Danio rerio: one gene and its partner. The protein of the gene in region 1 purifies or fractionates together with the protein of each later gene. This does not show direct contact. Links are inferred from orthologs where the notes say so. Each region holds a gene or a part of one and is shown on either strand. Other genes may lie near its edges. The genes, in order: max and cbx3a.

Region 1 (4,326 bases):
ATCCGCTGCATAAAACATATGCTGGATAAGTTGGCAGTTCATTCCGCTGTGGCGTCCGAAGGAAATTAATGTCTAAGCCGAAAGGAAAATGAATATGTATGAATGAATGAATGAATGAATTTCATATTCCTTTATTATAAATTTTAAGGAAATACTTTTGGTGTATCAAAAAGTGTTTATGATCCATCCGACAAGCGAATCCAGCTAAAAATAGTGCTAAACATAATAATTAAATAGAAAATAAGGCGATAACTGCAAAAAGGTCCACATTTTGAGAAAAAAACAACCACCTCTTTCATCAGGCTGCTATGGGCCTGCTATTAAAGAATCAGGATCAGTTTTATTTTGAAATGCATTATATAGTTTTCTATGTTATAGTTTTCTTCTGAAATGATCTGCTGTATTTGATCTAGATAATTGATTAAAATTACAAAACTAAATACTTTTCCCTTATAATTTAAAGTTGAAACAACTGTCTATATAAAGATTTATTTTTGCCCGATCACAGTCATAACAACAGCAGTTGTTTGTTAAAGGGTTTTAAATTATTAATATTAAAGTATTTTCAGTAATCTCTGATCACACTATTGATAACAGTATAAAGTAGGCCCACTACTAATGAATCAAAATTGTGTTTTCTAAGACACAGCTTTATACTGTTATGAATAACACCATTATTAGAGAATCAGGATCAGTTCTGTTTTAAAATGAGATATGTTACATTAAATTTGTCATGACAACAAGTTTTCCTCTGAAATATTTTGTAGCTACAGAATTATTATTATGCTTTAATACAGCTGTGATAAAACCACCACATCCATAATAATCAAAATAGCCAAAACAACATTGTTTTTATTCTCCGGGTTTTTTTTATATAATTGTTATTAATAAAGTATTAGCAGAAACTGACATCCAAACCGTGCTGTTTTTGTTTGTTTATTTCTGTCATTTTAAACTGTCATCAAGTTCACATTTAAAGTAGGTCGTTAGAGTAACCATGTTTCTGTGTTTTTATAGCTCTGATAAGAGTACTAAAACAAGAATATTACCAATGGTCTAAATATTTTTATAGTTTGCAATTACTCACAAATATGCACAGTATTAGTGACCCACGTATTAGTCACAAACAACGCTGAGCAATCTCCACGTGTCTTGCTGGTTCCGAGACATGTAAATGAACTACAATTACCACCTCCCATTGCCACCATAAGGGCTTTCCTTCAACCCCATGTAGAGACTCCGCCCAGAAAAGCTGTCTGGGTGTTGTAGTCCTACACAATAGTTCCGTGGTTACATCCACCGACTGCGTAACTTAAACAAACGACAAGTCCCACGATGCTCTGCGGCGCAATCACAGACGTGACACGCCACGGTAAATGTCCGTGTGTAGGCGAGTCACGTGTGGGGAGTCCGTTGATCTCGTTTCGTGTAAGCAGTGAATCTCTCCTGTTTGTTCATTTGATTTGGGCCCCGTTTCATGTTGTTTTCAAAACAACATTTCGTGTAGATTTATCTATCTTCGCCGAAGAATGAGCGACAACGATGATATCGAGGTCGACAGTGATGTGAGTATAGTTATTTTTGTTTGTACTCTGCATGTTTGAAAATGAAACCTCTTGTATTTTCGATACTTGAGCCTCAATACGGGGCTAGCCTGCTAGCTAGTTAGCCAGCCAACCTAGCGTTTGAAATAATTTCCCAGCCAGTTTATTGAGAATATCCAGCCAGATAAGCGATTAAACACGGGGGTCGAGTCTATACTCGTCTCCGTATGTGTACATTTGCGATTATGTGTAAGTTACTAAAACAGTGTATTGCATCCATCAAATAGCCAGTTAAGTATCACTCTTACAGCTGTAGCTACAATTGTACTTTCTGTTCTGTTTTCTTACAGGAAGATTCACCGAGATTTCACGGTGTGGTGCGTAATAAGCGGAGCAATTAATCCAGTTTAGCCTTTAATGCTGAAAATATCTTCTCTTTTTGAGATTAGCTACCATATATTTCCGGGTAGGTACTGAACGCCGACTGATTTGCATCGGTGGAAGACAAAACAATATAGGATGATGCCTTAAAAGGGGGCATGGATGTGTTGGATTCGATGAGCACCGGGGTCTGCTTGTTTTGGGTGGTTCGGGGAGCTCTGTGCTCGACAGCAGGGCACTTGCTGCAGGAGGGAGGGAGGGACGTTGGCTGAGCGAGAGCCGCAGCCACACTGCGAGTGCGCGACGCGATAGCCCAAAAGCTCGCGTCGCAGAAAGCCAGCAGCGAGATCTCTGTATCCGAGCATTCTGCTGTGTCGTGACGCTCGCAGTGTGTGTGTGGCGCAGTAGTTAGACGATGGAAATATACGACGGCAGGGTTATCATTTGAAATCTATGGCTTTAACATCAATGGTGTCTTGTTTTTGTTAGATCAGACCGTATATGAATAAATAAGCAACATTAAATATTAATACTGAACCTATGGAACATCCCCCTTGCCGATTTCCAAAGACATTTTGTACATTGTTTATACTAAATTGTCAATGTACGGATAAATTATTTTAAAATGATAGTAATACACATATCTTTGTTATATTAAAAAAAGGGTTTAATGGGGATTCTGTGACTCTTATTTTTCTAAATTAGAGAAATCTTAAATTCGTAATGGCATTGGCATTAATGTTGAATGTGCTTAAACATGTAATATCTAAACAAGCAAAAATGAATACATTTAATTTACTTTTGCAATAAATTGAACAAGTCAGGTTATGCTTAAAACAACAACAACAAATATCTGTCAACAGGGAACGAAAATTGATGAGTTGATTTTTTGAGCTCAATAAGCTCAAATGTTTGCTGTTTTAATCATAAGCTCACTTCATTTTGATCCATTTCAGGAATTTATATCATGTCATTTTGTTTCTTAAGTAAATATCTTAGTTTAAAGATCTTTCCATATTTTATCTGCAAAACAAGACGACAATACTGAGGATAAACTAAACTTTTAACAGTGTGATGAGAACATATATTTTCTGGTTAGTGGAAATCTAGTTATACTATTTGTTTTGTAAAATGATTAAGTTGTATTTTCAAATTGTGTTCACTGTCAATTTAGAGAAAATGTTGAGTTGACTTATGTGACCCTGCTACACTAACCCAGTCTTATGTTGCATGTCAATATCATTATATGGGTACATGATAAATGTACATTATCAATATTTATTTTATGCTACAATTCATTACAATATTGAGTTATTTAGTAAATATACCATAAGCAAAACTAAATTTTTGATAAGTACTGTGCGTTAAACTTGAAACTCAGCTTTTTTTTTAACCCCCAGATTACAGATGTTTAAATTGCTGTATGTTGGGCAAGTATTGTCACGGACACCTCATTAGTTCAGCTTTCAGATAATGCACGAATCTTAATTCCCAAAAACGGAGACATGTCACTGGTTTTGTGCTACAGGGTCACATATTGTCTTTTTATAATTAGATTTTTTATTTAGTCAAAGTATTAAAATGACCTTCATAAACCTGCAGAAAGATTGTGGTAAAAGTTTGGAACAAATGGAGTTCACGATGCAGTATTAATTCTTTTAATGGGTTTTTAATTACAAAAATTTCCAGTCTGATCAGTGACTTTTGAGAGAAGTTGGTTTGTCATGCTTTCCTTACATTACTCATGCATTTGCAATAGCCTTTAAAAAACAACACAAACAACAGCAAAGAAAACTAGGAACATTTCTTATGATATCTTATAATCCAGATACAAATTAAGTGCAATAATCTTTAGATTTTGTAATTAAAATTAAAGAGAAGCATTTGGTGTAGAACCTTGTCGTTTCCTATCCAAAAAAACTGATAATTGCAAATTTTAAATGAGCTTGACAGATGAAACTGTCTCTGAAATACTGGGCACAGCATAAAATGGTGTGTTAAATTGAGCAATTTGACCATCAAAAGGTCATAGGTCTTTTGTTTTGTATTTATTTTTACAATACATCAGCGTTGCTTTCAGGAAATTAGATTTAGGTTTCATTTTCTGGAATAGTACCACAGTCAGTTTTCTACTAAAATGTTTATGTTCTGTCAGTGTGGTGAGAAATCGAGCCCCGCCCCTGCAATCGAGTTTGCATAGGACCCTAATGGATCGTCTACGTTGAATGCCTGATGAAAAGTACTTTCTATAAACTATTCTCAGTCTTGAGATTTTAACAAGACTAATCATATTAGTAACATTATTATCGGTAACTCCAAGTTAAAGTATTTAATGATGTCTTTTTGATATCTTTATGTATTTATATGTAACATTATATATTTACATTAGAAGTGGTAGCAA
Region 2 (4,294 bases), on another chromosome or scaffold:
GATGTTGATCCAGGATCAGATCGTACTTGGCAAAACCATGATGTGCGTATCTCGTCATCCTCAACTTCCTTAACCATGCAAGTGTAATAAACGCTTGTGTTTTTTGTTGCAAAGTTATCTATGACAAAGTCTCCCAAAGACAGATTTGTGTTTCTTGGACCACTACTCTCATCCTTAGAGCTCATTTCATCAGACACATTATCAACTAAGACAGGGACATCATTTTTCCCAGAGCTGCTAACTATGATTTTGTTTTTGGTTGCTTTCTCTTTTTTTTTTTTTGATTTTTCCTTTTATTTGCTATTCTTAAGCTTTTTGTTTCTTTTTTTTGGTGTTTTTTTTTTTGTTTGTCTTTTTTTATAGGCCTTTTCAAGTGTCACACGGTTTCATTTGGATTGTGTTCTGGGGAGACATTTGAGAATGGTAGCATTTCATGAAGAGACATGTATCCAGGTTGGCTAGAAACACATGGCACATCCATGTAGACTATATGCGCACTGAATGGAATAGCATCAGTTAGTGAACTATCTGTAAGTGGATCATCTGCAGGAAGTAGATCATCCAAATCTTCTGTAGTGCCAGGCTGGAGCTCAGGATTTGCCTAGTCTGACACCATGAATAGTGCAAAATGCTTTATCAAGGAAAATTTCCCATGGAAAAATTCCAGTGGACCTAAATCCAGAAGTGATGTTGCGAAGTGTCACTGCTCGTTTGAAGGCCTCGTTCACAAGTCCTACAATCTGGTAGACTAAATTTAACTTGTGCCTAATGTCTCACTTTACCCCACTGCCACATTTTAGAAATTTTTTTTTTTTTTTTTAGCAATTCAGACTAATCTTGAGCTAGCATACTCACATCGTTTTATATGTTGGTAGTTCATGCTTTCCAAAGCACCAGGAATTCCTATTATTCATGGTAAAGGAGATATGGAAGGGGCTTTAAAACAAAATTGTTATAGAGTGATATATAAAATTCGTTGCCTAGATACAGGGGGTATCTCACATTACCCCGTTCTCCCTTTGTTGTGTCATGTTCTGGATGTAGTAGGCAATAGGCTAAACATATAGAGAATCTGTTTTAGAGATCTGTTTAATGAGTGAACACTTAAATTGAAGTTAAGTGATACGGTGTATCTCTCAAAATAACTGAATCGAGATGTTTTGCCATGGTAATCTGCGGATGTGCTTTTGAATTCACAGGCGCTCCGCCCAACGTAAGACTCATTGGATACACGTGATTGCTCTCAGATAGGCGTGGCTTTACGTCCTCGCGTTCGATTCTGGCTGGCCTTCGTCGAGCCTCAGTCGGCTTTTCTTCTTGATTTATTAGTATCAAGTAAGTAAAACTTTTAAAAGTGCGTACTTCGTTGGCGCGGGAGCAGTTTCTGTAAAGCCATTTGCAGTTCAGAAGGCGTGAAGATTTGTTATCCAAGTTTTTATCTTATCCATTGTCATGGTGAGTTTCGCGCGCATGCCTCTCGTGCTGCAGCACCGTCCATTGTAGTTTGTTGTTTGAATGCTGCAGTCTTGTTTATTTTAGCTTATTTTTGTAAATCTGCTTTTAAGCCCTTTAAGTTGTTTCACTTTACAGAAATGTAGGATGCATATTGCACAATGTTTTGTAACGTCGCGATGTTTTGTCTGTTTCTGTGAGCATTTCCTGCTAGCAAGTTGGCTAACGCGGGCTACTGTAAACCAACACGTGTTTCAGCAAATATTAAGCGAACAATATTTTTTTGTGGAAAGTTATACGTTCACGCGAGCTGTGTGTTCGCCGGGAAATCTTAAACCGCTATAAATTCGAGTGGGAAGTTTGAAACGCTTTCAGGGCCCTTGGCCTGTTCATGCATGCGCAGTTACCATTAGCTCGCTAACATTCAAGCACACTTAAAAGGCACCACATACTAACGCGTTTTTAACCCTAGGCTAGCCGTAAAGGCATCACTGGATTTGAGAACCCCCCTAGCATATAGTATCATTTAATTTCTTAGTAAATGGGCAAACATTAACGTTAGCCTTTTTACTATTATATTACAAGTCATAAACAGTTAAACCTTTTCGTTTGTTATTTTGATACAAAAAGAGCAGAGTCTTAAATTTTTAACATTTTAAATTTAAAGTACTTGAAATGAATGATAAGGTCTGGTTTATGATGTCATTTGTGTGTGTGTGCATTTAGGTCAACATGGGTAAGAAGCAGGCAGGCAAGTCAAAGAAGGAAGTTCAGGAGATTGAGGAGTTTGTGGTGGAGAAGGTAATGGACCAGCGAGTGGTCAATGGAAAAGTTGAGTTTTTCCTCAAGTGGAAAGGCTTTACAGAGTGAGTACTTCGTCTCTTTTGCAGCTATGAAAAATAAACGGAATTGTTTTTGCATATATTTTGATTTGTGAGTGTAGCTGTATGCTATTAGATTGTAGGGGAAAATGACTCTCCATCAGGTGGTTCCAGTTTTTAATGATTTTTTTTTGAACACTAAAGATAATATAAAGCAACCTGAAAACCGGTAACCATTGATTTCTACAGCAGGAAAAGCAAATACTGTGAAAGTTAATGTAAACAAGTTTCCAGCTCTCCTCAAAAAACATGATTTGTGTTCAATGGAAAAAAAATCTAACAAGATTGGAGCAAGTGAAGGATCAGTAAATTACAATTTTCAGTTTTTAGTAAACTATCTCTTTAACAAGGTATCTATGTTTCCTCAGTGCTGACAACACTTGGGAGCCTGAAGAAAATTTAGACTGTCCAGAGCTGATCGCCGCATTCCTTGAGTCTCAGAAAGGAGTGGTGGAAAAACCAGAAGCTGTAAAAAGAAAATCATCCACTGATGAACCAGAGACAGAAGAGAGCAAGGCAAAACGAAAGAAGGAAATGGTAAGATGTTGTGTTGGTCATTAAAATATCTAGCAGATGTGATGTTTTTTTTAACATTGGTTAAATTTGCTAAATCTAAACTAATATTGTTTTTTGTTTTTTTACTGTAGTCTGACAAGCCTAGGGGTTTTGCAAGAAACCTTGAACCAGAGAGAATCATTGGGGCGACTGACAGCAGCGGGGAGCTCATGTTCCTCATGAAGTGGTAAGAAACTATTGTGGTTTTGTAATTGATTTAGAACATGTTTAGCTGAGAAAAAATAGTGGGGGAAGTCTTGATCTTGTTTTGAATCTGTTCAACTTCTACAAGTCATACTATATGAAGAATATTTGAAACCTATTTTAACTTGGTAAATAAAATGTTTGTTTGTTTTGTATGAAAAACAATCCACAAAAGAAAGCTATAACGTTTTGGAATAACATTTGAGTTCATTTTAAAGATTGTTTTAAAGGCCTGTAGAGGGCAGCAGTCCCACGCATAAAACCTTTTTATTAAAAAATAAAGAGGCTTACTGGAGGGCTCATTGTGTCGGCTTATTTTTATTCAGGGTTTCTGCAGGGTCTTAATGTCTAAAATCCCAAAATAAAAAATGTAGGCCTTAAAAGTCTTACATTTACTCTGTGTTGTAAGTCTTGAATGTTTTTTTTAAACAAGTCTTAATTTTCCTATGTTCGTGTATTGCTAGCCAATCTGGTCAAAACTCATACAATCACCAACAATCCATCTCAAATTTCTATTCAAAAAGGTAGTTTAACTTAAATTTTTAATTTGTGTAGAAGTGCTCCACGTGTTTACTGCTCAGGACACAATTATTTATATATAATCAAAGGTGTATGGTATAATTTTTTTTTTTTTTATGAAAAAAAAATAAATGTGTGTGTGTGTGTTTGAATCCATATCCATATTTTAAATTAAACTGACAAAATACATTTGTTTTAAAATCTAGGTTTTCAACATCCCTTCAATAAAGCATCCACAAGATAATTTACCTCATTTGCAATGCAGAGGTCATTGTTTTGAAGTGCAACACTGTACTTCCTAGTCTAATTGTTCTGTTTGGTCTCTAGATAAACTTCTTTGTCTTGTGTTTACAGGAAGGACTCTGATGAAGCGGACCTGGTTCCCGCACGAGAGGCTAACACCCGTTGCCCGCAGATAGTTATTGCTTTTTATGAAGAAAGGCTAACTTGGCATTCTTGTCCTGAGGATGAGCAGCAATAGCATCCCACATTTCATTACAACTTTCTGTGTTGGTGTCTTCCACCTGTGCTGTGTTGATAGCCTGTCAGTGGAGGATTCTTTTTGTTTTGTTTTTTCAGTTTATTGAAGATTTGTCTGGAAACTATGTGCATGACAGTAGTCAACCAATGAACGTATGTACAAATGAGATGAGTGTTTTTAAAGTTACAATAGAGGACGCTTA

Evidence for each region.
Region 2: the proteins of max (region 1) and cbx3a purify together in Homo sapiens (affinity purification with mass spectrometry; 3 studies listed by BioGRID and IntAct, with this or other methods). This does not show direct contact. The link is inferred for Danio rerio from reciprocal best matches to the Homo sapiens genes MAX and CBX3.

What each region holds. Positions count from the first base shown.
Region 1 is NC_133195.1:31,576,324-31,580,649, reverse strand, and holds the start of max (protein max), read left to right. Parts: upstream 1-1,421; 5' UTR 1,422-1,529; coding exon 1,530-1,565; intron 1,566-1,894; coding exon 1,895-1,921; intron 1,922-4,326. UniProt on the Homo sapiens protein: Transcription regulator. Forms a sequence-specific DNA-binding protein complex with MYC or MAD which recognizes the core sequence 5'-CAC[GA]TG-3'. The MYC:MAX complex is a transcriptional activator, whereas the MAD:MAX complex is a repressor.
Region 2 is NC_133194.1:22,210,293-22,214,586, reverse strand, and holds the start of cbx3a (chromobox protein homolog 3a), read left to right. Parts: upstream 1-1,253; 5' UTR 1,254-1,452; coding exon 1,453-1,455; intron 1,456-2,178; coding exon 2,179-2,318; intron 2,319-2,701; coding exon 2,702-2,870; intron 2,871-2,980; coding exon 2,981-3,075; intron 3,076-3,965; coding exon 3,966-4,092; 3' UTR 4,093-4,294.